7 linked regions of the Oryctolagus cuniculus genome follow. The protein of the gene in region 6 interacts with the protein of the main gene of each other region in a pairwise test. Links are inferred from orthologs where the notes say so. Each region holds a gene or a part of one and is shown on either strand. Other genes may lie near its edges. The genes, in order: C7H1orf216, CCHCR1, CCDC121, KRT20, BFSP1, NUP62 and KANSL1.

What was found.
Region 1: the proteins of NUP62 (region 6) and C7H1orf216 interact in binary tests that used the Homo sapiens proteins (3 or more experiments, as listed by UniProt). The two-hybrid records come from large-scale screens. The link is inferred for Oryctolagus cuniculus from reciprocal best matches to the Homo sapiens genes NUP62 and C1orf216.
Region 2: the proteins of NUP62 (region 6) and CCHCR1 interact in binary tests that used the Homo sapiens proteins (3 or more experiments, as listed by UniProt). The link is inferred for Oryctolagus cuniculus from reciprocal best matches to the Homo sapiens genes NUP62 and CCHCR1.
Region 3: the proteins of NUP62 (region 6) and CCDC121 interact in binary tests that used the Homo sapiens proteins (3 or more experiments, as listed by UniProt). The two-hybrid records come from large-scale screens. The link is inferred for Oryctolagus cuniculus from reciprocal best matches to the Homo sapiens genes NUP62 and CCDC121.
Region 4: the proteins of NUP62 (region 6) and KRT20 interact in binary tests that used the Homo sapiens proteins (3 or more experiments, as listed by UniProt). The two-hybrid records come from large-scale screens. The link is inferred for Oryctolagus cuniculus from reciprocal best matches to the Homo sapiens genes NUP62 and KRT20.
Region 5: the proteins of NUP62 (region 6) and BFSP1 interact in binary tests that used the Homo sapiens proteins (3 or more experiments, as listed by UniProt). The two-hybrid records come from large-scale screens. The link is inferred for Oryctolagus cuniculus from reciprocal best matches to the Homo sapiens genes NUP62 and BFSP1.
Region 7: the proteins of NUP62 (region 6) and KANSL1 interact in binary tests that used the Homo sapiens proteins (3 or more experiments, as listed by UniProt). The two-hybrid records come from large-scale screens. The link is inferred for Oryctolagus cuniculus from reciprocal best matches to the Homo sapiens genes NUP62 and KANSL1.

What each region holds. Positions count from the first base shown.
Region 1 is NC_091438.1:136,913,034-136,917,087, reverse strand, and holds the start of C7H1orf216 (UPF0500 protein C1orf216 homolog), read right to left. Parts: upstream 2,801-4,054; 5' UTR 2,550-2,800; intron 1-2,549.
Region 2 is NC_091436.1:139,335,688-139,339,822, reverse strand, and holds the start of CCHCR1 (coiled-coil alpha-helical rod protein 1), read right to left. Parts: upstream 2,801-4,135; 5' UTR 2,287-2,800; coding exon 2,071-2,286; intron 1,411-2,070; coding exon 1,344-1,410; intron 1,264-1,343; coding exon 1,050-1,263; intron 1-1,049. UniProt on the Homo sapiens protein: May be a regulator of keratinocyte proliferation or differentiation.
Region 3 is NC_091433.1:175,378,989-175,383,171, forward strand, and holds the start of CCDC121 (coiled-coil domain-containing protein 121), read left to right. Parts: upstream 1-1,383; 5' UTR 1,384-1,573; coding exon 1,574-1,911; intron 1,912-2,506; coding exon 2,507-3,449; 3' UTR 3,450-4,183. Other genes in the region: GPN1 (GPN-loop GTPase 1), read right to left, coding at 465-558, 1,212-1,322.
Region 4 is NC_091448.1:21,693,988-21,698,033, forward strand, and holds the start of KRT20 (keratin, type I cytoskeletal 20), read left to right. Parts: upstream 1-1,246; 5' UTR 1,247-1,314; coding exon 1,315-1,725; exon of another isoform or gene 1,726-3,814; coding exon 3,815-3,897; exon of another isoform or gene 3,898-4,046. UniProt on the Homo sapiens protein: Plays a significant role in maintaining keratin filament organization in intestinal epithelia. When phosphorylated, plays a role in the secretion of mucin in the small intestine.
Region 5 is NC_091442.1:42,516,199-42,519,698, reverse strand, and holds part of BFSP1 (filensin), read left to right. Parts: intron 1-284; coding exon 285-505; intron 506-2,617; coding exon 2,618-2,703; intron 2,704-3,500. UniProt on the Homo sapiens protein: Required for the correct formation of lens intermediate filaments as part of a complex composed of BFSP1, BFSP2 and CRYAA. Involved in altering the calcium regulation of MIP water permeability.
Region 6 is NC_091449.1:7,675,536-7,679,035, forward strand, and holds the end of NUP62 (nuclear pore glycoprotein p62), read left to right. Parts: coding exon 1-1,533; 3' UTR 1,534-3,276; downstream 3,277-3,500. UniProt on the Homo sapiens protein: Essential component of the nuclear pore complex. The N-terminal is probably involved in nucleocytoplasmic transport.
Region 7 is NC_091448.1:17,042,002-17,046,114, reverse strand, and holds the start of KANSL1 (KAT8 regulatory NSL complex subunit 1), read right to left. Parts: upstream 2,801-4,113; 5' UTR 2,705-2,800; intron 1,151-2,704; 5' UTR 1,014-1,150; intron 1-1,013. UniProt on the Homo sapiens protein: Non-catalytic component of the NSL histone acetyltransferase complex, a multiprotein complex that mediates histone H4 acetylation at 'Lys-5'- and 'Lys-8' (H4K5ac and H4K8ac) at transcription start sites and promotes transcription initiation.

The sequences.
Region 1 (4,054 bases), on a different chromosome or scaffold from region 6:
CAGGCACACGCCTGGCAGCTCCTTGTCATCCCCTCCCCTTGGCTGGGCTCGCACTGCCCCTGCTGGTCCCCACCTCCCTCACTGCTCCTTTGCAGTAGCCTGCACAGCGTGTTTTTCAGCGCTCCGAGGCAGGCTGCCTTTTCGTTCTACACGCTTCTCCCCAGATGACCCGGCTGTGGGCTGCAGCTTTGGGAATCATCATATGCTGGTAACTCTCCAATCTGTCTCCAGCCCAGATCCAACTGTTACCCAGCCCTGCAGCCACCCACAGGCCCCTGGAAATCTCCCAGTCCCAGCCAGCTCCCATCTTCGTGTCCTCAGCAAGACGGCTCTGCTCCCTGTTCAGCCACCCCAGCCAGAGCCCGGAAGCATCCTGGAATAAGCATTTTCCTTCCGTCCCTCATCTCTTATCAATCACCAAATTCAGACAATTCTTCCTCTTCAATTTCGTTTGGCTCAGGCCATTTTTTACCTGGACTAGTGCCACAGCCTTTTCACTAATCTCTCTTCCTGTGGCTAAACATGTAAATTTGGGGGCTCAACGTGGTTGCACAGCAGGTGAAGCTGTTGTGGCAATGCTGGCATCCCATATCAGAAAGCTGGTTCAAGTCCCAGCTGCTCTACTTCCAATCCAGTTTCCTGTTAATGCATCTGGGAAGGCCGTGGAAGATGGCCCAAGTACTTGGGCCCCTACCACTCACATAGGGACCAGGATGGAGTTCCTGGCTCCAGGCTTCAGCTTGGCCCAGCCCTGGCTGTTGCAGCCATTTGGAGAGTGAACTAGTAGACAGAAGATTGGTATTTCTCTCTTCTCTCTGTCACTGACTTTTTTTTTTTTTTTTTTTTTTGGACAGGCAGAGTGGACAGTGAGAGAGAGAGACAGAGAGAAAGGTCTTCCTTTTGCCGTTGGTTCACCCTCCAATGGCCGCCACGGCCGGCGCACCGCACTGATCTGATGGCAGGAGCCAGGTGCTTCTCCTGGTCTTCCATGGGGTGCAGGGCCCAAGCACCTGGGCCATCCTCCACTGCACTCCCTGGCCACAGCAGAGAGCTGGCCTGGAAGAGGGGCAACCGGGACAGAATCCGGCGCCCCGACCGGGACTAGAACCCGGTGTGCCGGCACCGCAGGCAGAGGATTAGCCTAGTGAGCCGCGGCGCCGGCCATGTCACTGCCTTTCAAATAAATAAATGAATTTTTTAAAAAAGATTTATTTAATTATTTGAAAGGCAGAGTTAGAGAGAGAGAGAGAGAGAGACACCTTCCATCCGCTGGTTCACTCCCCAGATGGCTGCAATGGCCGGAGCTGTGGCAATCTGAAGCCAGGAGCCAGGAGCTTCTTCCAGGTCACCCATGAGGGTGCAGGGGCCCAAGGCCTTGGGCCATCTTCCACTGCTTTCCCAGGCCACAGCAGAGAGCTGGATTGGAAGTGGAGCAGCCGGGTCTCAAACCAGCGCCCATATGGGATGCTGGCACTGCAGGCGGTGGCTTTACCCGCTATGCCACAATGCCAGCCCCATAAATAAATGAATTTTAAAATGCAAATTTAAAAATTGAGTGAGTACTGTTCCTGAACTCCTCTTAAAGATCTACATGGCCTAATGGCCCTGAGCACCCGCACCCTGCCTCCCATCACATCCGACTGCTCCAGGAGCTCAAGATCCACTATTGTTGCGCTCCACTATGGCTCTGGCCTGCAGTGCCTGCCTCTCCCTTCCCCTCTAAGCTCCTCCCTCTCCACCCGGCAAATGCTCTGAGGCCTGCCTGAGAATCCCCCCTCCATCTGCCCCGCCCTTAATAAATGTAAACACAGTTCCTCATGCCTTCCTCCAGCTCCCCCCATCACGCTCCTGGAGCAAGCACTGAGGTGCCACGCCCGATGCGCCATCCCTCTTCCCCCACCACCTGCATCCTGGCCCTAGTTTGCCCCATCCGGAGTTCCAGGAGGGAGTGCAAAGGGCATCCCTCTTCCTAGCAGGGCTTCCACCAAAATCCCGGTCTGAACTGAGAAGAGGTTTCTCCCGACCACGACCACACACTTACTCCCAGGACAGGGAAACCGGAGGGTCACTAAGGGGTACAAGGTAAGGGCAGCAGGCCCCAGGGGGACCCCTAAGGTGGCACAGGCTCTTCCCACAGTTGGGAGAGGGCAGAAGGCCTGGAAGGATCCAGTGGGAACGATTCCCGCGGTGACCTGCGGACCCCCAGGCCTCCCACCAAAGTGTGCACTTAGGTGCCTGGAGCCTCCCCCGAGTCTTTTTCCTAAGCAGGCTGGAATGGGCTGGTGGTGGCGCTGAGGATCCTGGGTTCTCAGCGATAGTAAAATGGGGATCAGACCCCGGCCCCACCCCCAGTTAATCCGCAATTTGCCAGGGCCGGGAGCAGCGGCGGCCGCCCTTCCTTCCTGGCGCTGCCGGAGACGTCCCCCGGGGAATAGGGCAGAGGCCGTCCCCGCAGAGCTCCGCGGAGGGGCCGCTGGGCGCGGGCTGCAGCCCCCAGCCCCCGGCCCCCGCGGCGGGGCCCCCAGTCCTCCCCCTCGGCCCGGACTCACGGCCTGGAGGCGCCCGCTCCGGCGCAGCTGGCTCTGGTTCCGGCGCGCCCCGCTCGGCCTGGGGGTGTCTCGCCCGGGCTTTCCCGCGGCCCGGGCCCGGACTGCGGCTGCTGGCGGCGTCTGCGCGGCGGGGCGGGGTTGGGGCGGCCCACGTGGGCCGGTTCGGTTCTGCGTGGGAGCCTTGCGCGGGGCCCCTGCGCCGCAGCCGCCTCCCCCGCGCCGGCTGCTCAAGGCCAGGCCTTCCAGGTCTGGCTGTCGCCTAACGGCGCTCGCTGGGCCCCTCCTTCCTCGAGGCTGTGGCACGCACCGCAGCCTCTGCCTGAAATGTTGTCTCCTGGCTAGGCTTCCCCACATTTCAGATCTGAGAAACCTTCTGTGATCCCCGAGACAAGACTGGTCCCCCGCTTTGTATCATCTCAGAGCACTTATGTTCCTTTGATCAAAATCTGGAATTTTATATTAATTGTGTGCACATCTGATTCATCATTAATGAAAGCTACTTTAAAAAATTATTTAGGGGCCTCAGCGGCCATTTGGGGAGTGAACCAACGGAAGGAAGACCTTTCTGTCTCTCACTATCATTCTGTCAAATAAATTAAAAAAAAATTTAAAAAGTGCACGCCCCATATAAAAAATTATTTATGTATTTGAAAGGCAGAGTTCCAGAGAGGGAGAGAAGAGATCCAGCCCCCAAATGGCCGTGGCCACAATGGTGGAGCCAGGAGCCTGAAACTCTATTTGGGTCTGCCACTTGAGTGGCAGGGGTCCAAGCCCTTGGGACGTCCTTTGCTGCTTTCCCAGGTACATTAGCAGGGAGCCTGATTTGAAGTGGAGCAGCAGGGACTCCGCCAGCCTTCCTATGGATCTTGGCATTGCAGGCCTGGGCTTACCCCACTGCGCCACAAAGCCAGACTGAAGGCTACTTTTTTTTTTTTTTTTTTTTTTTTTTTTTAATATGCTGTGGCGTATTGGGTAAAGCCACCGCCTGCAATGCCGGCATCCCATATAGGTGTTGGTTCGAGTCTCCGCTGCTCCACTTCTGATCTAGCTCTCTGCTATGACCTGGGAAAGCAGTAGAAGATAGCCCAAGTCCTGGGCCCCTGTACCCACGTGGGAGACCCGGAGGAAGCTCCTGGCTCCTGGCTTCAGATCTGTGCAGCTCTGGCCATTGCAGCAACTTGGGGAATGAAGCAGGAATGAAAGACACACACACACTCTCTCTCTCTCTCTGCCTCTCCTTCTCTCTCTGTGTAACTCTAACTTTCAAATAAATAAATAAATCTTTAAAAAAAAAATAGAAAGAGTCCCCTGGGACAGAGCTCAGGTTGCAGAGAATTCCTGCTAGGCACAGACGCCCTCCGTGGCGCCTGCACAGTGGGTTCCTGTGCAGTTGCCCATGTGCACAGATGTAACTGGATAAGAAAGTCCTCGGTCCCAAGCTGGAGTAGCTTGTCAGAGTTCCACTCACTGACCCTGATCCCTGTCACTCCCTTCCTCCTTGTAGT
Region 2 (4,135 bases), on a different chromosome or scaffold from region 6:
CTCCTGGCTCCTGGCTTCTGCCTGGCCAACCTCTGAGTGCTGTGGCCACTATGGAGGTGAAGCAGCAGGTGTTCGGTGCCCCTCCCTCCCTTCCTCCCTCCCTGTCACGCTGCCTGTCAAATAAATAGAGAGTAGCGCTCTGGAGCAGCCTAGGGAAATTAAGAGGTGCACAAGACCCCTAGCAGACAGTCAAACAGAAACAGCAGGTCTGTCTCTGCTCCCTCTTCCTCGTACCCACTCCTCTTTGATGTGCTCCCACTCATGGTAGACAGAAGTGGCAGAATGAAACCGGTACAACTGTGGAAAACACACAGGAGACAACAAGGACATTTGCAGACGACACCTTCACAGACGGCCGAGCCAGCCCCTCAACCGCCTGCCCTCTGAAAAGGCTTTCTGTACCCGCTCCATCAGAATAAACCCACACCCCACGGCACCAGGCCTATTTCTAGTACTTCTTCCTCGAGCTCTGAACTACGCGTGGTCAGTCTGTCTCCTCTAGGAGTTTAAATTCCTAAGCAATGTCAAGTTTAAGTTAGGGGTGGGAGAAGGCTGGCCACCATGTCCATTGCTGCGAGCACCGAGCTCTGGTTCAAGTCCTGGCTGCTCCACTTTCAATCCAGCTCCCTGCTAATGCATCTGGGAGGCAGTGGAAGATGGCCCGAGTTCGTGGGCCCCTGCCACCCATGTGAGAGACCCAGATTTAGTTTTGGGCTCCTGGCTTCGGCCTGGCCCAGCCCTAGCTGTACTGCAGACATTAGGGGAGTGAATCAGTGGATGGAAGATCTGTCTCTGCCTCTCTCTCTGTAACTCTGCCTTGCTCATAGATAAACATATTTTTTAAAGACAAAGTTTAGGTCAGATCTCTCTTCATTTTTCTCTGCCCCATCCCCAGGTCTTATTACTTACGCAATGTGGGTACCAATAATTGCTCATGTAAAAATGAACAAGTTACTGAGTCAGGGTTTGTAACAGGCCATGGAATCTGTTTCAGTGAAGAAAGGCCACGAGAAAGCGAGTCTGAGAACAAGGTGGCAACAGTCCCCTACCTGCCTCTCCGCCCCGGCTCCTGCCCGTCACCGGACACGTCCTGCTCCCAGAGGGTCACTTGGCGTCTGTGGGTGTCCAGCCGCCTCTGTGACACATCCTGACGGGCCTGGGGCTGGACGAGGGGAATGTCTGAAGCCCAGGTGGGAGCCATCCTTGGCACGGTTGAAAGGGGCCGGGCTTGGAAGTGGGAGGGGGGGATCAAGCCAGAGACACCTGCGGAACCACAAGAGCACAGTCAGCTTCCCAGGCAGCGGGGGCGACCGCCAGCCCCTCGCCTGCGCCGCCCCACTGACCTGAGGGCTGAAACATCTCCATGTGACTTGAAGACGCTAGGTGCTGCCTCCAGCCTTCTATGCTCCCCTGGACAAGAGGAGAAACAAGGACACTCCAGTTCAATTTTCAGGTCACCTTCCAAAGAGAAAGCCCCTACAATAACAAAGTCACAATGCTAAATTACAGCCAGCTCCCCTGTCTCTCAGCTCCTCTTCCCACTCTTGTGGAAGAAGTATGAGACCCCACCCCACTGCCTGCTTGTCCTAATGCAAAACTCAGGCAGGGGGCCTGCGCTGTGGCCTAACGGGTAAAGCCACCACCTGCAGTGCCGGCATCCCTTACGAGCACAGGTTCGAGTCCTAGGTACTCCACTTCCAATCCAGCTCTCTGCTATGGCCTGGGAAAGCAGCAGAAGATGGCCCAGGTCATTGGGTCCCTGCACCCGCCTGGGAGACCTGGAGGAAGCTCCTCACTCCTGGCTTTGGATCGGCGCAGCTCCGGCCATTGTGGCCAATTGGGGAGTGGACCAGTGGATGGAAGACCTCTCTCTCTCTCTCTCTCTCTCTGCTTCTCCTCTGTGTACTCTTTCAAATAAATAAATCTTTAAAAAACAAAAACAAAACAAACAAACAAACAAAACTCAGGCAGAAACCAGGAGGGAGGCGGAGAAAACTCAAGGAGGTGGACGAGCCAAGGGGGAGCTTTTGGGCTTTGATCATCCTGCTAGGACTCAGGCAGTGTCTTTACCCTTCTCCTGAGGTTTCTACTGTCCCTGCTGCTCCTGGCCTGAGAGGACGAAGGAGGCACACCGTGCAGAGGCCCCGAGCCCAGCCTCCAGAGTTCTCGCCACGGCTCGGCAAGGCCTTGGGGAAGCCCACCCAGACACCACCAGGCCATGACTCCCGGGTCCTTTCCCAGCAGAGCGCTGGCCCAAGGCCTGGCCCCTGATGAATGTGGCCACATGTAGGGCTGGACACCTCCCCAGGACCGCCTGGGAGTCCAGATGGCCTAGATGCCCCCGCACAAGAGCCAGATCTTTCTTGCAACTACCCTCTTGCCCATGCCCTCGGCGTCCATCCCTGCGGACCTGCTCTCTCTAGGGTCCTAGAGCACAGTGGGCCCTTCAAGATCTTTCTCACACACTCCCACCCGAATTCACCCCCACCTGGGATTCCCTTCCTGCATTCTAGTCTGCTTTTTTCCTGAAGGAATTATTCTGGTCCATCACCCTCACCCTCATCTCCCAGCTAACAAGCAGCCTGCTCGCGTCTCCCAGCACCCTAGTCTGATTTCTGCTCTCTCTCCTCCGTGCCCTGATATCCTCAACCTTCACCCTGCACACCCTGCAGGACCCTGAATTCTAAGGCCGTCCTGACCACCTCATCCGCTCCTTTACCCAGCCCCTGTACCCTTCTTCCCCTGTGACCCCCTGCACCCCCCAGCACCCCGTCTCAGCCCCTTCCCGCCCCCAACCGACTCTTCCCGAACGCCCCTTACTCAGCGCGAGAACGCCCCCTCCGCCCCTTGGTCACACCCACCACACCTCGCTCCCCGCCCGGCCTCCGCCCTTGACTACGCCTGCGCCAGGCGGGCGGCGTGGCGGGCCGCTCTGAAACTCCGTTTTGTCCAGGAAGGAAAAGGAGCAAAGGTGCACGCAGGCGCAGTGGCGCCTAAAGCTGGGCCCAATTACTGCGTCTAAGCAACTGCGCGCCTTGGCCGCTCCGCCCCACTCCGGGGACCCGGGAAAACCTCTGAGCTAATCAGAAAAAGCGGAAGGCGGGAGCTCGCGGGACCCGCCCAGCGCGCCGCCCAATGGAGCGGAAGAGGGTCACAGAACTAGCCAATCAGGCGCGGTCCTGGGGGCGGGCTCTCTGGGCGCGAAGTTCGGACCCGGGAATTCCGAAGGAGGGGTCTGCGCTGCCCGCGCGCCGAGACCGCGCCCCTCCCGGCCCCGGCTTCCTGGCTGTCAAACTGCAGTGCGAGCGCTTAGCCCAGCTGAGGAGGCCGAGAGGACCTGCGGCCGCCGCTCGGGCTGGCGTCGCCTGGAGAGGAGCCCGCTCCAAGACTGCGCCGCGCAGGTAGGTCCGAAACGGAGCTGGGGCCGGGAGGGCGAGCGCTCGCGAGTTCGCCAGGAGCTCCTTCTTCTGATTTACCCCACCCGAAGGAAGCCGGGAAGCGAGGTTTAGATCCGCTTTGTTGGGAGTACCTAGGGACCTGTTTGCACTGCTCTTTGCGTGTATGTGTGTGTGTGTTGGGGGGTGACAGTGAATTCACTCCCCCCGCCCCGGGGTTCAAGCTAGTTCTGAATGAGGGATTGGCCAAAAAGAGCGAGGGCGCGGGCGAACGGGGAGGGGGGTGTTGTTTTGGATAAGCAGGTCTGACAGGAAGAAGCTTGTCTTCAAATTGCACCGGGGCAGCCCGTTCGTGTAGCAGCACCCACACACGCCTCCGATTTGCATTTCCCCAGAAGCTGCCTAACGTGACCTTTGCCTTGCGCAGGTCGGAGGCTCCCGGGATGTCTGGCGGCCCGAGGATCCAGCTCCACTGAGTGGCGGGAGGACGCGTTCCAGTTTGCCCCTTGCACCCTGTCCTCCCTGTTTTTTTTTTTCCCTTGCACATCTGCTTCGCAGCCAGTTTTGCATCGCCTGCCTCAGCTGCCTGCACTCCTCCGGGTTTGCACTGCCCAAGTAGCGCTCCAGGTTGAAACTGCACACAGCCCAGCTCACGTCTGCACACCAGACTGAGAAGTGAGATCGAGCCCCGGCTCAGGCAATGGAAGAGCCGATGGATTCCTGAAGTGCAGCAGGTGGTG
Region 3 (4,183 bases), on a different chromosome or scaffold from region 6:
ACCAGCCCCATGATCTCTGCCTCTTAATATGTGGTCTTTTATTGTATTTGGGGTATAAAAAGCTTGGGGGTGGGGGACACAGGCACTGTGGGGCAGCAGGTAAGGGACTGTGCTACATATGGAAGTACCCCCCATATGGAAGGGCCTGGGATCAAGTCCCACCTCTACCTCCAATCCAGTTTCCTGCTAATGAGCAACCTAAAAGGTAGCAGATGATGGCTCAAGCACTTAGGTCCCCGCCACCACATGGGAGGCCAGCATGGAGTTCCTGGCTCCTAGCTTTAGCCTGGGCGTTAGATAAAGGCCAGTGTTTAAAAAGGAGAATGTTTTATAAAGAAGCCTGTTTAGGGACTGAAGAACATCCAAGAGAGATAAAAGTACGAAGTTCAGAAAATAAAAAAAGTCCCTGAAGACTGGCAGGCTGGAGGCGTTCCCCTCTCTGCGTTAGGGCACAGTGTACTCACCAATGTTGGCAGGAAAGGGGACTTCGTGCACAGCCGGGTCCAGATTGATCACATAGGGCGGGGAACCTTGGCTGTGCAAGTGCCCAGTGAGCCGCTGCAGACAGGAAGATGGGAGGGGGAGGGAGAGGAGGAGGGGGTGATCAGGAAGGGCATTTCCACTCCTTCACCCACCGCCCTCCAGCCACCCGAAATATCCACCCTGCTTCCAACATCAAATCTCGGCTCAAACGCTACTTTTCCTTATCACTCACCTGACAGAGCCTCCCCTACTCTTGCCCACTTATTAACTTGTATTGCAAACCCATATGGCGAGTATCTTTCTATCTCCTCCATGAAAGTAAAAACCTTGTCAACCGCATTTTCTCCGTATCCCCCATGCCTGGAACATGAGAGGGGCCCCAGAAATAACTTTTTTCGCAAATCTTCACCGAAACCCAATGGGTTAACACCGAATCTATCTACTCCATGCCTTGTGAGTCTGCCTTCGAGAGGCTGGCAACTTCCCCAGCAAACAGTTCCAACACAACGTGGTAAGTCGAACCAAGTGTGCACAGAAGAGGGCTTCAATGAACACAGGCGCGGGTCCGCTATGCCTCAGCCCACGAAGCAGCCGGAGTTCGGTGAAGTCCCTGAAAACCACGCGCCGGTGTCCTCCAACTCCCCACGGACTTCCGTCGCTTTCTCCCTGGCCTTCTGCCCGCCACCACCTCTCGCGCTGCCCTACCCCGCCCGCGCAGTGTGCGTCACCTGGACAAAGGTGGTTTTCCCGGATCCCGCCATCCCCAACACCAAGAGGCACACGGGGGGCCGAGGACCCCCGGACGCCTGGGGCTCCGCCGCAGCCGCGAGCGCCGCCATCTTTGCTCAGGCCCCGCCCCTCACCACAGAGGCGCGGCGTGGCTAGAGAGGCCTCCGCGACGTTCTAGATTGGGCGGAGAATAGAGTCGAACGCCGCCGAGAGGCGCCGGCCAGCGGGTGCCGAGTTTCTGCTGCGGGCGGGCTAGTGACGCCGGGAGAGAAGTGAGGGGAGCAGAGAAGCGAGAGGAGAGGGCTAGCGGAGCCGAAAAAGGAGCACTGCCCGTCGCTGGCTCCTCGGAGCGGGAGACGAGATGGGCTCCCAAGGGCCGAACCCCCACCACACGAAAAAGAGGGGCGTACGTCTCATTTTGGGGTCCCAAAGAGCTAGGACCGAAGACGCTGGTCTGCCGCCTGCTAGAGCTTGTTTGGCACCCGAGGAGATTAAACAGCTCAGGGCTGGGCTGACCGGGGCGGGGGCTAAATGGGACGCTTGGGGGTGCTGGGCAGCGCGGAGACCCGTCGAGCCGCAGACTGAGCAGCTGCAAGACCTTTCCGCCTTCACGACCCCCGACGTCAGCGCGCGCTCCTCGGCGACCACCCTCCGAGAACTGCGCAGCTACCGCTGTCAACAGCTGGATTCCAGGAGCAAGTGAGTGCGGCCACGGAAAGAGGATGAAGGAGCCCGAGAAGTATCCCCGCTCCCCATCACCGTCCCGCGTCCGACGATCTGGGTTTCATACCCAGGCGCTGCCACTGGTCAGCCGTCTGGTTTCTTGTTCTTTAAAACGGACACTACGCCGCGGGGTTGCAGGGAATGCCTATTGCAAATTGTCGGCGGTACCCCCAGCATCTTCAACCCTGGTTGTATTTCCCGTGGCTTGCAGAGTGTTTGGAACGTAGTAGGTCTCCAAAATACTTGTTGAGCTGCCACTTGGGACACCAGCATTCCGTATCTGAATGCCTGGGATCAAGTTCCAACTCCACGTCCAGTCTAGCTTCCTGCAATGCGCCTGGGAGGCAGCAGTTGGTGGCCCAGATACTTGGGTCCCTGCCACCCACGTGGGAGATGCGGATGGAGCCCCAGCTGTGGCAGGTATTTGGGAAGTGAACCAGCAGATGGGAAATCTGCCTTTCAAATAAGTAAATAGTCGCTGTATTAATTAAGGACAATTGTGCATCTTTTATGATTGCTTAAATTTGCATTAAGAACTGACAGAGGCACGTCTCATGGGCTCTCCCTTCAGGTTTGCCGAAGGTCCCAGGAGTTCCCCTCCGTCGTACCTCAGTCTAATAAATAATCTGCTCCAGCCCCAGAAGCTAACAAGTGCGGAGATGCGCATCAGAAGAAGAATGGCGAAGGTGCGAGAGCTGGACACGCAGATTAAAGCAGCCCGAGCCCAGCAGCAGCTGTTACTGGAGGACACCAGGCAGCTGCACGAGGAGGAGCTACACTTCCAGGCGGAAAACAGGTTCTTTCTGGAGTACCTGACCAAGAAAACGGAAGAGCTGGCGAAGGAGCCCGTGAAGCTGTGGACGGAGTACATACAGGAAAGTCGAGAGATTAAAAGGGGGAGACAGAAGTTAGCCGCCAGATATGCCAAGAAGTCTGCAGTGCTTAAAGCAGAGCTCATGCAGAAGAAAAAGATACAAGCCGATTTGAAGCAGCAGCTGCAGGATCTGAGAGACATTTCGCTGTTAAAGGAGAAACAGGACATACAAATCCAGAAATTACAGGAGGAGAAAAACAAGATCGAAGCGCAGATCGCCGCCGAGAAACACGCCCAGTTCCTCAAGGAAAAGGCCCTGCTGGAGGAGCAGCTGAATGAGCCAGACGTGAGGCACTTGGGAAAGCAAGAAAGGAGGGCGCTCAGGGAGAAGACGCAGGCCCTGAGGTCGGCAGCAAAGCAGGCTGAGGTGAAGTTCTGCCACGGCATCCAGGCAGAGAACCAGCGGCTACGCAAGGAATGCTGGCAGCTAATGCGGCAATCCCAGAAATTAGAGGCTACTCAAAGCCAGTTAAGGAGCCAGAAGCAGCAGCTGGAGCAGGAACAGTGGCTTGTGCAGAGCATGCTCCGTGGGAGGCAACGGCTGCAAGAAAGACGCCATGGGTGCCCTAAAGGACAGGGTGTCCCCCAGGCACCACCGAGGCCTCCCCTGGGCGCCGCATCAACGATAAACCCCCCGTAGTTCCTCAAATACGTACCCAGCAAACCTGTTAGGAAAGGCTTTTGAATTCCAGATTGTAGTAAAATACCATACGTGTTGGTACAAAAGACTAGGTGCAGTCATGTAAGGTGACCGGCTTCCTTTAAGCAGTATTTTAAAAAACTACCTTATGTTGATAAACACAATTTTCAGACTTCCAGTTAACCTAATACCTGATAGCCCAACCTGTTTCACCATCTCCGAAACACCCCATACATCCAGCAAGTTCAGAAACACCCACTTGGGGTGTGTGATTTCATCTAGCCAAGTTAAGATTTCTTTATAGAGAAAATACCTTTAAGGACAGCATTTCACTGAATAGAGCTTTCTGCTGTATAAATAACACGGATCAGTTTACTTGTATTCCTTTTGGCCAAATCAGCAGACAAGGATGAAGTGTTTCTAAGTTCTTTTTTAAGTGTAGGCCAGTGGGTGGGTAGCTTCTTTTACAGATTCCTCGCCAGTTGAAAAAGTACTCTGATAACAGCAAGCCCACTAAGTGCTAGGTTGAATGACCTTTGAAATCTGATGATGAACCCCTACAAAAATTTCAGCTTTGAATACATTAAGGGGGTAAGAGGATTTGAATGGTGACATTTATTAAGTTGCCTCTTTTTTGTGAAATGTTCTTTGAAGAAACACTTTTAGCATTAAAGAAGTGATTGAATGCCTGTTTCAGGAAAACCTATCAAAAAAGTTTTAAAATATTTGGACTT
Region 4 (4,046 bases), on a different chromosome or scaffold from region 6:
TTTTTCATTTTTTGTACTCATTTGCTTGTTTGCTTACTTTAATCATACACAGCCCTCAATTCAACTGAAGTTATGGATATAAGAATTAACGAGATATTTTCTGTGACTTTTCCAATCCTTTCTAATTAACTTGACTTAGGAAGCCATTTAAATGCTTCAAGGGAGGGGTGGATTTTCAGCCAGGGATTTGCATAAAGGGGAGCAAATGAATAAGCTGCAACAAGTGTTGAGTGAGCACCTGCAGCCAGCTCCCCACAGGTGAGACTGAAGCCCTGTGTTTGGAGGTGGGCACACATGCAGCCACCCCAGCCCAACCCTGGAAGCTGGGTGTAGCCCCAAGGCACCTCCCACACCGCTTCCTCTACACGGAACCGCTGGTGCTGTGAGTGTGGGGGCCTGCAAGGAAGATCAGGTTTCTCCGGAAGCTTCTGCTACTGAAATCTGCAGGGGATTCTAGAAGCACCTCTGGGTTCAGGATGGATGGAGCAGAGTCTGTCCAGACAGGGCACACAGCACCTCCAGCTGCCAGGCCAAGTGCACAGCCTGTGCTCTCTATGCTTCTCAGAAACAGGACAAAAGTCAGATGCTGGCTGAAAATTTCCAACATATTATCTAGTCGCCAAAATTAGAACTTAAAAAAAAAATCTCCAAAGCCTCCAAAATCATGTAGTCTACCACTCATCAAAGTTCCTTTAATTCACTTCCCTAAACCAGTCTCCAAGTGTCTGTTTCACTCCTGTGGGTATGTTCAAGATACGGCGCTTTCACAGAATATGTTAATAGTATTATAAAATCTCTAAACAAGGATAAGCTAAAATCCAAAAGGCGTGAAATGGAGGTTCTGGTGGCTGATACACTCCGCCACACAACAAGCTACTGTCCTGTCCCCAGTGTGACTTACCGTGAGGGCCCTCATCTGCCTGCTCAGATAGCTAAGTTCTGCCTGAGGACTGTAAAGATTCTTGATGTGTGCCCTGGGAGGAGGAGAGCCTGCCAAGGCAGGTGCGAGGGCTACAAGAACACACCTTCCTGCTGCCTTCTGTCAGCTCTGTTTGAAAAAGGCAATCATCCCTGAGAAACGCTTCTATGAAATGCTCCTAGTGATAAGCTCTGGAGTGGAATTAAACATACTGCTGTTTAAAGGGGGCGGGGGGGGGACGCCATACAAGGCAAGGTGGACTGTCAGTCCTGGGGTGACAAGTCAGCAGAGGAGGAGTCTGCTGTAAAGTGCATAAAAGGTCAGCTCAGCACCTGCCGGGAGACAGACTCTGCTCCAGCCTTCCTGAAGCCTCCGGTGCCCTCCTGGTCTCCCCAATGGATTCCAGTCGCAGAAGCTTCCACAGAAGCCTGAGCTCCTCCTCACAGGGCCCTGCACTCATCATGAGCAGCTCCATATACAGGAAGGGGGGCCTGCAGCCCCTTGTGGCTGCACCCAGTGTTTATGGGGGGGCTGGAGGCCACGGCACCCGGATCTCAACCTCCAGACAGTTGGCGAGCTATGGGAATGATCTCAGTGGTGGCAGGGATCTGTTTGCTGGCAATGAGAAAATGACCATGCAGAACCTAAACGACCGTCTAGCCAGCTACCTGGACAAAGTACGGTCCCTGGAGCAGTCCAACTCCAAACTCGAGGCACTGATCAAGCAGTGGTACGAAGCCAATGCACCCAGCGGCAGTCGTGACTTCAGTGCATACTACAAGCAAATGGAAGAGCTGCAGAACCAGGTGAGGTGCGGGGCCTGGAGAGCACTGTGGCAGGTGGAAGCAAGCAGACCCTGTAGAGCAGGTGCGGCTGGAACGCTGCCTCTGTAGAACAACCCTGAGTGCTGGGGCACCTACCTGCCCGAGTCGCTCTAAACCATACTGCTTTTAAATGTTTTAATCTAATTACATATAACACAGGAGCATTTTTCTTCCAGTCTTATATTGTCTATCTTTGTCACACTTTATTGTATCAGCTACAGGGATAGTAAACTTTTTTCCTGAAAAGAGCTATTTATATGTGATAATAAATTATTGTTCAGTTTCTCACCTCATCCCCATCAAGGTTTGAAACCCCAGTCAACTCAGAGACTTTTCTTCTTTCACTGATGTAATATAGGTATTAAAATACCAGAGTGCTCAGGGTAGGGACAGGGGGAAGGTGTACTTCTGAATAGTCCTTGGGTTTTTAAAATTCTCTGTTTAATCATCTGACCATCATCACCAAGCAGTTCAGAAAGTACTTCTGCATTAATAATCTATGGCCCCCAATTGGAATTTATTGCAATCATATCACAGCTGGCTCCCACATCACCCAAGAGGAAGCTGTGCATTTTATCAAGCGCATGAAATAAAAGCAGAAGACTTTGCTCCCTGCTGAAGATTTCCTATATGACACGGAGCACTTCCTTTACTTTCATTCTCTTATTTAATCAAGAAAATTCCCCTTTCATTTTCATTTCTATTTTAAGATTCATAACCCTTTAGAGCAAAGTTAGCCCCCAGCGAGTCTCCTGCTCTTGGGCTGTAGTGGCCATCAGTGTGATGAGTCAGACCCCACAGGAAGGCATTGTGGGATTCCAGGAACGAGGGGCACACAGAGTCGCAGGGCTTACAGTGCTTTCCTTCTCAGGCTCTCACCACAAACCAGTCAATCTCCCGTACCTATCTCTGACTCACGCTTCTGAGTCTACCCCGGGTCACCTCAGAGGCACAGGCACAGCTATCGGTTCCACACAGTGGGCAGACCCAGCATGGGAAGGCCCTTTGCAGGACCGCAGTCACAGAAAGAGGCCCGTAGCTGGAACCTCTTCTGATTCACTTGCGTCTGACAGAAGTCACTTCATTAAACACTTCTAAAGATGCAGGACTGGCGTTTGGCCCAGTGGTTAGAATGTCCATATCCCATACTGGAGTACCTGGACTTGACTTTGACCCTGGCTTCTGACTCCACCTTCCTCCTAATGCAGAGACCTTGGCAGGCACCAGATGATAGTTCAAGTAATTGGGTTCCTTCCACCTTCATGGGTCACCCGGATGGAGTTCTTGGCTCCCAGCCTCAGCCATCACAGGCATATGGGGAGTGAACCAGTGTATGGGATTCTCTCTCTCTCTCTCTCTCTCTCTCTGTGTGTGTGTGTGTGTGTGTGTGTGTGTGTGTCTGTCTCTCTGTCTCTCTCTGCATCCCTCCCTGCATCCCTCCTTCTCAAATAAGTAAATTGTAAAGTTTTTAGTCCAGGGCTTACCTGCCCTGATATCCCCAGTGCCTCATCATATAACAAACATTCATTCCTTCATTGAGCCAAAACTTAGTCAACACTAACCTGGTGCTAGGGAACTTGTGGTGAACAAAATGTGACTTAGGAGGAAACAGGCATGGACGAAGCAACTACACAGAGGATTAAGCACTGGCAAGAAGGGCTGTGTAGGGCAACAAGGGCACAAGCAGATGCCTCCACACCACACTGACTAAGCTGAGACAAGGAGGGGAAGCAGGGATTCTCCAGGTGATGGGGGCTAACGGGGGCGTTCTACGCAGGAACCACACCAAAGGCAAAGCCCTCGGTCAGATCTGATGACACAACAAGAATGAAGATCTCCCTTTGTAAGATCACAGGAAAGCAGACCCTACCCTGGGGACTGCAGTAGTATTTTGATTCAGGTACACTAAGTACCCACGTTATCATTCTTCCTGTCAATATTTTCACATGAAATTCTTGACCTGAACATCATTTTTACTAAACTTGTGACAGTAGTTGTATCTGAGGATAAATCCCATCATTTTTAACTCCTATCCAGTTGGAAACATCCTTCTTTCTCGTGTGTTTTCCAGATTAAGGATGCTCAGTCACAAAATTCCCAGCGTGTCCTGCAAATTGACAATGCTAAGCTGGCTGCTGAGGACTTCAGACTCAAGTAGGTTCCTGAATGCCATGGTGGAACTTTCCAGAAAAGAGTCCCTCTCAGTGGTGCTTCATGACACTCGGCTCCCCATATTATCCTTGCTGAATTTCCTTATTACGCTTCCAGAATCTTACCGCTTTGATGGTGTGGGAAGTACTCAG
Region 5 (3,500 bases), on a different chromosome or scaffold from region 6:
CTTTTGGAATGCTGGCACTGCAGGCAGTGGATTTACCTGCTATTCCACAGCGCCAGCCCCTTCTGACCGCTTTTGAGGCAGGGCTGTGGTAAGGATGATCCCAGAGGGTGTGGATATTAATGCAAGGATGTGGGGTTCAGGTTCTGCATTCTGCTTGGGCTTAAGGATTGCAATGTAATTCACTGCTCATCTCTAACCGGCAGAGGCATAAAGCAAGTGCAAGTTCATGCCCGGGTATAGGGCGGGGTGGGATGGGTTTCCTCACCGTGTGTCTCGGCCCCTAGACGTCGACCCTGGAACAAGCTATCAAAAGTGCCCACGAGTGTTACGACGACGAGATCCAGCTGTACAATGAGCAGATTGAAACCCTGCGCAAGGAGATCGAGGAGACGGAGCGGACCCTGGAGAAGTCGACCTATGACTGCCGGCAGCTGGCGGTCGCACAGCAGACCCTGAAGAACGAGCTGGACCGGTACCATCGGATCATCGAGATGGAAGGCAACAGGTGTGGCCACACAGCTGTGATGAGAGCGTGCACCCCGCTCCCCACCCACAAATCTTTGCTGAGTGCCTACTAAGTGCCAGGCGCTCCCTGACCTCAGGGAGCTCGGATGCTGGGGGCCAGGGAGACAGCGAATGAGTGAGCTCTCTGTGAGCTGTGACAGGTGCCTGGGAGGAAAGGATGGCAGGAAGGAGGGGAGTGGTGGGGATGCTGGGAGTCCGAGTACGGTAGGCAGAGGGCCTTACTGGGAGGGCTGCTTCGTGTCCCCGGGGCTCTGGGCTCCTGAGCGTCCTGGTGGGGAGGTGGGTGACCAGGAGCATTTGCTGAGAGGGCTGCTTCGTGTCCCCGGGGCTCTGGGCTCCTGAGCATCCTGGTGGGGAGGTGGGTGACCAGGAGCATTCTTGAGAACCTGCAGGTGCAGCGCCTCCCATGGAGCCTGGCGTTTGGTGAGTGCTCGGATGCTTGAGGGTTATAGCTGCCGCCATCATGATGAGTGTCACCTGCTTGGTCAGAAGTGTGGCTGTGCCTGTGCCGTCTGGTCTCCTCCCTGATCGAGCTGTGACTGGAACCCCACTCACTGCAACACAGCTGGGACATCTATCTCCATCTCCCTCAGCTCTCTCTCAATCTGTCTGTATCTCTCTCTCTCTCTCTGTCTCCACATCTGCATCAACAGCATCTCTGTTGTCTACACTTACAGCCTCTACGTCTGTATCAACTGTAGCATCTCCATTTGCCCCTATGGCTAAGTGGGTTTTCCTATCTATGGGTACGCAGTGGAGAACAGGTTGGGTATGAAATCAGGATTCTTTTGTTCAGTCTTGCTGGTTTTCTGGGGTCAGACTGAGTTAAAATAGAAGCCCCTCCCCCCCAAAGTGCCCCACAAAGAGAAACTTTTGTTCACTTTGGGGCTACAAAGGCTTGGGCGTGTATCGGGAAAGGCAGTGTTTTCCTTTCCTTTGTCTAGTTATGGGCAGTGCGTCTCGCACGATTCCACGTTGCATTCATGACACAGGGAACGCTTGGTAGGCACCTCTATGAGAATACGTCCTGACCTGGCTCTGAAATAACCGTATGAAAAATTTTGCTTTGGAAGCAGGGCATTGGAAAAAGGTAGCTGGACGCCCCTACCCTTTAAATAATTTTTTTCTTCTTTTTCAAGATTTATTTACGTACTCGAAAGGCAGAGTTCAAACAGAGAGAGGGAGAGACAGAGAGAGGTTTTCCATCTGCTGGTTCACTCCCTAAATGGCCTCAATGGCCAGAGCTGCACCCATCTGAAGCCAGGAGCCAGGAGCTTCTTCCAGGTCTCCCATGCAGGTTCAGGGGCCCAAGGCCTTGGGCCATCTTCTACTGCTTTCCCAGGCCATAGCAGAGAGCTGGATTGGAAGTGGAGCAGCTGGGACTTGAACCGGCGCCCATATGAGATGCCAGCACTGCAGGCGGCAGCTTTACCTGCTACACCACAGTGCCAGCCCCTGGCCTCTCTTCTTTACACTCTCTCTGGTCTGTAAGTGTATATAGGATTGATTATCTGCTGAAAATTATGTGTGGGAGTAGGCGTTGGCCTAGGGCACCAGAATTACCTGGAGAGCTTGTTAGACCATTCCTGATCCCAACTCCGGGAATCCACTAATACTTTTCTAAAAAAGGAGATGAAGGAAAAGGGGGCGGAAATGGGGGAGAAGGGGGCAGTGTTTGGCCTGGCACTGACACTGGTTAAGATGCCTGCATCCCACGTTGGAGGGCCTGGGTTCAATTCCCACCTCCGGCTCCTGACTCCAGCTTCCTCCAGTGCACACCCTGGGAGGCAGTGGTGATGGCTCAAATACGCAGGTCCCTTTCACCCACCTGGGAGAACTGGATTGAGTTCCTGTGCTCCCAGCTTCAGCCTGGCCCGGCGCGGGCTGCTGTGGGAATTTGGAGCTGAATCAGCAGATGGGAGCTTTGTTTGTCTCTCTGCCTCTCAAATGATAAAAAGATTTTAAAAAGTTGTGTGTAATTCTTGAGCCATTGCATCTGGAGAAAGCTGTGTCCATTTTCACTCAGTGTTGGAGTGTCTGTGTTTGACTCGATGAATTAAGACGGTGCCACACTCTCTGTGTTTCGTACCAGGCTGAGCTCTGCCTTCATTGAAACTCCTATCACCCAGTTCGCAGCGAGCCAGGGACCCCCTCTCAGCCTGGGATCCAGCGGGAAAGGTAATGATACCCATGCTCCCCCCTCCACACCTTCCCTCCACTCCCCTTCTTCTCTCATCCTCTTCCTCCTCTTCATTCTTCTTCCTTGTGTGCAAAAACCAAGTGGTTTTCTTCCTGACCTTGACATTCACACTGCCTTCCAATTCATCTGGAAACTCCATGTTCCTACCTGAGGGAGGTCTCCTCTTCCCCTCCGGGGCATCCTCAGTATTATCCCCTTGGATGCAAACTGGCTGAGCCACAAAGTGTTTTAAGGAGAAAATGAGCTGGGTATTCACGAATGTGAGGCATTAACTTGGGGGAAAGATACAATTCAGGGTTCACTTCTTGTTTCTTCCAAACTATTGAGTTATAGGAAGGGTACTTCAAAATGTTTATGGCAAAATGGAAATAAAAGATAAGTTTATTTTGGTGCAAAAAATTTTGCAATCTATGCATGGTTTTTTCTTTTTTCTTTAAGATTTATTTATTTACTTGAAAGTCAGAGTTACACACACAGAGAGAAGGAGAGGCAGAGAGAGAGAGGGAGAGAGAGAGAGGGAGAGACAGAGGGAGAGAGGTCTTCCATCCGCTGGTCCACTCCCCAGTTGGCCACAACAGCTGGAGCTGTGCCGATCCAAAGCCAGGAGCCAGGAGCTTCCTCCAGGTCTCCCACGCGGGTGCAGGGGCCCATGGACTTGGGCCATCTTCTACTGCTATCCTAGGCCATAGCAGAGAACTGGATCGGAAGAGGAGCAGCCGGGACTAGAACCAGCGCCCATATGGGATGCCGGCACTGCAGGCAGCGGCCTCACCCA
Region 6 (3,500 bases):
GCCCCCACAGGCGGGTTCACCTTTGGTACCGCAAAGACAGCAACCAGCACCACGCCGGCGACGGGGTTCTCTTTCTCTACGTCTAGCTCTGGCGGGTTTAATTTTGGGACTCCCTCCCCTGCGGCCGCGAGCACCCCTTCCACCGGGCTGTTCTCTCTCACGACCCAAGCGCCAGCAGCCCAGACCCCGGCGTTCAGTTTTGGCACCACGACTCCCGCTTCCGGAGGCACCGGCTTCTCCCTAGGTCTCAACGCCCCGAAGCTGAACTTGGGCAGCACGGCGGCCACCTCAGCCACAGCAAACCCCAGTGGCTTTGGGCTCGGCAGCAGCACCCTCACCAGTGCCACGTCGGGCACCGTCACCTCCAGCCAGGGCACAGCTCCCACCGGCTTTGTGTTCGGCTCTACCACCACGCCTGCGGCCCCCGCCACCACATCCGGAGGGTTCTCCTTCACCGGGGGAAGCTCCTCGCAGACGGGGACGTCTGGCTTCAACATCGGCTCCGTGGGGAGTTCGGCCACCCAGCCCACGGCGCTGACCGGGTCTCCCTTCACCGCAGCCACGCCAGCGGCCACGGGGGCAGGGCCCAGCCAGCCGGCCGCGCCCACGCCCGCCGCCACCTCCAACGCTGGGCCCACCCTCTTTGCCTCCATAGCCGCGGCTCCCACCTCATCCACCGGCACGGGGCTCTCCCTCGGTGCCCCAGCGACCACCGCCGCGGCGCCCGCGCCTGGGACGCTGGGCTTCACCTTGAAGGCCCCTGGAGCAGCTGCCGGCACCTCCACGGTGACGTCCGCTGCTGCCACCACCACCACCACCACCACCACCAGCTTCGCCTTGAATCTAAAACCTCTGGCGCCGGCCGGGGTCCCCAGCAACACGACGGCCGCCGCGAGTGCTCCAGCGGCCCCCAGCGCAGCCACCGGGGCGGCCGGCAGCCCCGCGATGACCTACGCGCAGCTGGAGAGCCTCATCAACAAGTGGAGCCTGGAGCTGGAGGACCAGGAGCGGCACTTCCTGCAGCAGGCCACCCAGGTGAACGCCTGGGACCGCACGCTCGTCGAGAACGGCGAGCGCATCACCAGCCTGCACCGCCAGGTGGAGAAGGTGAAGCTGGACCAGAAGCGGCTGGACCAGGAGCTCGACTTCATCCTGTCGCAGCAGAAGGAGCTGGAGGACCTGCTGAGCCCGCTGGAGGGCTGGGTGAAGGAGCAGAGCGGGGCCGTGTGCCTGCAGCACGCCGACGAGGAGCGCGAGAAGACCTACAAGCTGGCCGAGAACATCGACGCGCAGCTCAAGCGCATGGCCCAGGACCTCAAGGACATCATCGAGCACCTGAACACGTCCGGGGGCCCCGCCGACACCAGCGACCCCCTGCAGCAGATCTGCAAGATCCTCAACGCGCACATGGACTCGCTGCAGTGGATCGACCAGAACTCGGCGCTGCTGCAGCGGAAGGTGGAGGAGGTGACCAAGGTGTGCGAGGGGCGGCGCAAGGAGCAGGAGCGCAGCTTCCGCATCACCTTCGACTGACGGCCGGGCCGGGGCCGCGGCGCTCCCTGGTGGCCGGGGGGGCCGATTCTCTGAAGCGATTGTGCTGTGGAGAGAAGTGTTCTGTGGTTTGACTTTGCCCGCCAGCGAATGCGTAGAAAGTGTCCCGAGCGCCGCTGGGCGGGCGGGCAGCAGCCGGTGGGCGGCTCTGTGTCTGAGTCCTGTGTCTTTGGCCCCTTTCACCCACTGCCACCCACCTCGCCCTCCCCCGACAGAGGCGCTGAGGCCGGAGAGGAGAGGCTGCCGCCGGCCGCTCTGCCCAGCACAGTGGAAGTGCTGAGGTGGGCAGGCTGCCCTCTGCCCCGTGTGGGGTTTAAGCCGTGCGCTCCGCCCAGACACACTGCTCCCCGCAAGGAGGGGCTGCTCAGCTGAGGCGAGGCCCAAGCCCGGGGGGCTTCCCTGTGCCCGCTCCCCGTCCAGGTGGGCCCTCGGGCCTCCCCTCTTCCAGGGCGCCGCCCCGGCCGGCCCCATGGCACACTGAGCCTGTGCCAGGGAGGACTGGCTGTGCGTCTTGTGCCGACTGTTGGCCCCCGTCTCACTGGTAGACTGAGCTCCCGGGGGCAGGGACTGACTCTGTCCCCCTTTGTCCCCAGCACAGTCCCAGTCAGCTTTGCTGAATGAGCAAAGGACGAAGATGAAACCTGGCGTAGCGCTGGTCCACCGTGTTGCCTGCTGCGGTGGCCGCGGTGGCCACGCAGGGGCCCTGAGCCCCGCCAAGGTCCCCGTGTCGCCGCCCAGTGTCCTGTGTGTGTGCTTTGCATTCTCTACGATAGCCACGCTGTGTGTCGCCTTCCTGAATAAAAACATGAACAGCTGCCGTGCCTGTGTAACGTCAGGGTGAGGCGGTCGAGAGCGAGCAGCTCCCAGAAGCCACCGTGCTGGCGCCCTCCGGCCGACAGGCGCGAACAGTCTTGGGTCTGTGCTGACCTGTGGGTGACGCGGGCGCTGGCACCGCACTGCCTGCCCTCGCCCCGGTGGAGCAGCCTCCGTTCCTCCGCTGGGGCTAGCTGGAGGGCTCGGGCGGAGAGGCGACTCCCAGGTGCGGCCCGGCCAGCTGCTGGGAGCTCTCCCTCCTCCTGGGGACGGGGGTCCCGGCCCCTTGGCCTCACCCGCTCCATGGCTCACACCTCGGAGCCCTGTGGCCCATTTTCTAGAAGCTTCCCAAGGTCAAGATCACAAGTCATTGTTTACGTTGAACCATCTGGGGCCTTGAAGGCCAACACAACTTTGCAGGCAGCAGCCACAGAACAGGGAGGAGGAAGACCCCGCCAGCCTCCGTGAGCGCTGCTGCCCTCTCCCGGCCTTGACCACGGGGAGGGCCCGCGCTCCTGCCCTAGAAAAGTGGTCTGTTTCCTGCCTGCGTTTTTTCATTCGACATCCGTGGAGCAATGTTACTGAGCCCGCGAGCTCAGATTGTCCCTGTCAAAGGCCACACAATCTTCCTAGGGGGAAAAAAATGGGCATTTAAAAAATATATGCATTTGAAAGAGTGACAGAGGGAGAGGTTCCCCCCCCCACCTGGGTGGCAGGGACCCCAACACTTGGGCCACCATCTGCTGCCACCCCAGCTGCCTTCCCACTGAGCAGAGAGCAGTGCCATGGGTACCGGATGCCGGCGGCACGGGCAGCGGCTGGCACCTGTGCCACGACGCCATCCCAAGCGTGCTTCCCTGGTGTGCGTGTGTATATACTCCCGTTTCACATATTAAACATGAGTAAAACTCAGTTGCTTTCCTTTATTTTATTTTTAAAGATTTTATTTATTTTATTTGAGAAATAGAGCCACAGACAGTGAGAGGGACAGAGAGAAAGGTCTTCCCTCCACCAGTTCACTCCAAATGGCCAGAACTGCGCCGATCCAAAGCCAGGAGCCAGGTGCTCTCTGCCGGTCTCCTACACAGGTGCAGGGCCCAAGGCCTGCTCTCCCAGGCCACAGCAGAGAGCTGGAT
Region 7 (4,113 bases), on a different chromosome or scaffold from region 6:
AAGAAGCCACAAGAGAACCAACACATCGGGGGCCGGTGCTATGCCTGAAATGCCGGCATCCCATATGGGCGCCGGTTCTAGTCCCAGCTGCTCCTCTTCCGATCCAGCTCTCTGCTATGGTCTGGAAAAGCAGTACAAGATAGCCCAGGTCCTTGGGCCCCTGCACCCATGTGGGAGACCCGGAAAAAGCTCCTGGCTCCTGGCTCCTGGCTTCGGATAGGTGCAGCTCCGGCCGTTGCAGTCATCTGGGGAGTGAACCAGCAGATGGAAGACCTCTCTCTCTCTCTGCCTCTCCTCTCTCTGTGTAACTCTGACCTTCAAATAAATAAATAAATCTTAAAAAAAAAAAAAAAAGAGAGAGAGAGAGAACCAACACATCAATGAGAGCTTCTTCATTTAAAGGACATCTGTCCACTCTGCCCAAATAAGGTTTATCCTGTGAGATGAAACTTGGCCCAAGTGCCACCTGTTGAGAAACAAAGTAAAATCTCACGCAAAAGAGTAGGAGAAGCAGGAGGACTCTCCAAAGAGCTGCACACCCAAGCCAGTAGCTCTTAGAATGTTCTAATACTCCATATGAAGTTTCAGAGTAAACAGTTAATGACACATCTTTTGTAACACATGAATCAGCTACTGATTTGCAAGAGCAGGACACACCCTAGCACCCATGACTTTAAAGCACCTATTTGAAAGTGGACCTGAAGGTGGAACCCATCCCACTAGGACTAGAGCAGAATTTTACAACTACATAAGTTGTCACAATTTGAAGTTAAAAAGATGAACACATCATTATAATGGGAGATAATCCGAGACCTTCATTAATACTTTAACACCAGTAATTACAAACAGTAGCAACGCAAGGTAAGGAGTAACCAATCACTCCTGCAAAGCAATCTTCAAAGGGAGCAGTGACAGGTAAAGGGACTGAAGAACAGCAACTTCAAAAACCAGGATATTCTCCACTCTTCACAACACTAACGAAATGAGGCTGATGAGAGAAACACACATCTTACCTTAAGAGGCACCCGAATCGCATTCATAGTGTCAGAAGAGTTCAGACAAGATTCAGAAATGAGCAAACAGGGAGTCAGTGATCCCCTCAGTCACCAGGTAGGAGCAGGCAGAAAAACTTCCTGTTTTGAGAAGTTACCTAAAGGAGAGAGCTCTCAGTTAGACTAAAAAATAATACGGAATATGCAAGTAGTTTAAGCTACTTTTATATATATATATATATATATATATACACACACACATATATTTTTTTTGTTTGTTTCATTCATCCCAAAACACAGTACTCTTTGGAAAAGGGCAGATACTTGCATGTAAACATACTTTACCTGAAAAGACAAAGGTATGACATTTTAGAAAATATATAATTGCTTCTCAAAGAATCAGAAAACCAAAATCCAAGAAAGGGGAAAAAAATTTTAAGAGTACTTCATACACATTATGGAAAGGTGATTTGTTAACCACCTAAAAAAGGATCCTTACCATATTTAATTTTATATAGTAAATTAAAACTCCTCTTGATGATTCTGACCTAAAATTCTGAGCTTAAATTAAGTTTCAGAGCTGATTCTACATAATAAATAAAATCTATTGACCAAAGTACTACAAACAAATAAGGCACTTCTTCCCAGGAGATCTTTAAAGGAAACCCTTACAACTTCATTCTAGGATGAGAGGTGGCAAATCTGCCTGGAGACAGGAGGATGGACTAAATGACCTCTTGTAGGATCCTACAGTTCAAGTCCTAGGCCTGAATGAAATTCCAGCTTAACCAGTTACTGCTTCGCTTAAAATGGAGGCTTGCCCGAGTAGGGACAAAAATAACAGCACTCACCTCTTAAAAAAAAAAAATAAGGAAAAATCAAAGACTAAAGTATCCTCATTTCAAAAATAAAAACAAAAAGGCAAACCCTCCGGAGCGGGTCTGTTCCGGCTATGCCTCTGCACTTCGGCTTCGAGGACTTGGCATCACTCTCCGCCCCGCTCACCGGATCTGGGGGTGCCGGTGGGGGCGGGGTGCGAGGAGTTCGACTCTGGACCCAAGTCTCGGGCGGGGTCCGGACCCCTCTGCGAACCCCCCTCCCGGGCGGCGGGAGAGGAGAAAGGGGAGAGCCCGAGTTCTCACCCCTCCCCCACCGCGGACCCCAGTCCCGAACCTACCCTCCGCACCTTCCCGCAGCCGGGCGACCCCTCCGGCCTGACCCCCATTGTTGGGGAGGGGCGGATGGGCGAGGGGGCTCCGGGCAGGGGCGCCCGCGGCCGTGGCCCCGGCTCGCTCCGGGAGGGGGCGGCCCGCGGGATGCAGCTTCCCTTCCTCTCCGCGTCGGTCCGTCCCACCTCGGCTCGGCCTGGCGCCCTGGGCTCCCTCGCTGCCCCCGGCCCGGCCCACCCCCCGGGCCGCCAGGCCCTCCGGCAGCTCGGCCAGCAGCCCGCGGTCCAGGCCTACCGGTGGGCGCGGGGTGGGGGTCCCTGTGCCCCACACACGAGTCCCCGCTCCCCCAGCCCAGCCGATTCCAGGGCCCTCGGCGGAGCCCGTTCCGCGGGCCCCTCGACCCTTCGCCTCCCGGCCGGGCCGCCCCCTCAAAGCCCCCGGGTCGTAGCCGCCTTCCCTCCCCCACCATCACCCCTACCCACTCGTGCCCCCCACCCCCCGGGGCACCAGTGCCAACGGCAGCTCCCCCAGCCCCGGACCTACCTGCACGGCTCAACCAAGCCTAGAGTGGGGGCGGGGAATCTTCCGCCCTCCTCTGTCTCTCATTGGGCCTTCCGGGGCTCCTCGTGGGCGCCATTGGTCGAGAGAGGGTGTCCATCAGAGCGATGGGGCGGGACAGAGAGGGGAGAGGGATGCTGGTGCTTCGGCGTCTCTGTCTCTGTGTTATCTCGCTGTCTCTGTCTCTGTCAGGGCCCTTGGAAACGAGAGGCTTTTGGACAGGAGCTCTGGAAAGGGGCCCTGAGGTGGGAGGACTGGGAATCGGGAATCCCAGCGGTGCTTCTCACCAGTAGGCCACTCTGAACCCCCTGAGTCCCCTTGAGGTTCTCCTCTCCATCACCCCCAGCCCCTGCCCCTCACCCCTCTGGGTTCTTCATCCAGGAAGCGACGTGATGAAAACTCGAGGCCGGAAGGCCATAGGGAGAGATTTTATATATGAATCTCGAATTCGCACATATAAATGTTTATATGTAAAGCCAGTCACGTATACGGCTCCAAGGGCCTGGAGAGGGACACATCTTTTACAAACAGGGGAGGACTTCAGATAAAACCGATGGAAGAAGGGATCAAAAATCACTCCAGGCTGGCCACGGTGGTTACTTCCCGGAGGGCAGCTCCAGTGAGCAGGTGGGAGAAAGGCTTCCAGCTCACTGTATGGCCTTTGTATCCTTTGCTACTTTTAAAATCATTCATGAACATCCTAATTCTGAAAAAAAAATTTTTAATTGATTTAAATTTTTAGATAATCTGAGGTTGAGGTTGCAAAACCTGGAAATGGGGACAGCGTACAGATTTGGGGAGGAACCTTGGGTTTCAATATGTTCCATTCCAAATACCAGGGGTTAAGTGAGTGAAGGTGTCCCAGAGACAACTAAAGTTACAAACTTTGAGAGAGCATGGGCAATCTGGCTTAGAAAAGATTTAGAGCTCTCTGCTCACCACATGATAATGCCCAGAGTCTCCCCCACACATGTAAAAAGACACCACAGTTAAAGTCAGGAGGGTGAGAACGAAGGTGAAATAAGAGAAACAAAATATTGATGACACATGAAAGTTAAGGGAAGAAGCGTTTCTGGGAAAACAGAAATAATTGGGGCTGGTGCTGTGGTGCAGCAGGTTAAAGCCCTGGCCTGAAGTCCCCTGTGGTCACTGGTTCAAGTCCTGGCTGCTCCACTTCCAATCCAGCTCTCTGCCATGGCCTGAGAAAGCAGCAGAGGATGGCCCAAGTCCTTCGCATCTGGAGAGTAAACCAACAGATGGAATACCTCTCCCCACCACCCCCGTGTCTCTACCTCTCTTTTTTTTAAAAGTCTATAAAAATAAATTAATTAAAAAATAAAAATAATAAAACTTTAAGAGCCTCGTAGGTTTTGAGAATCAATACAGGGACACTC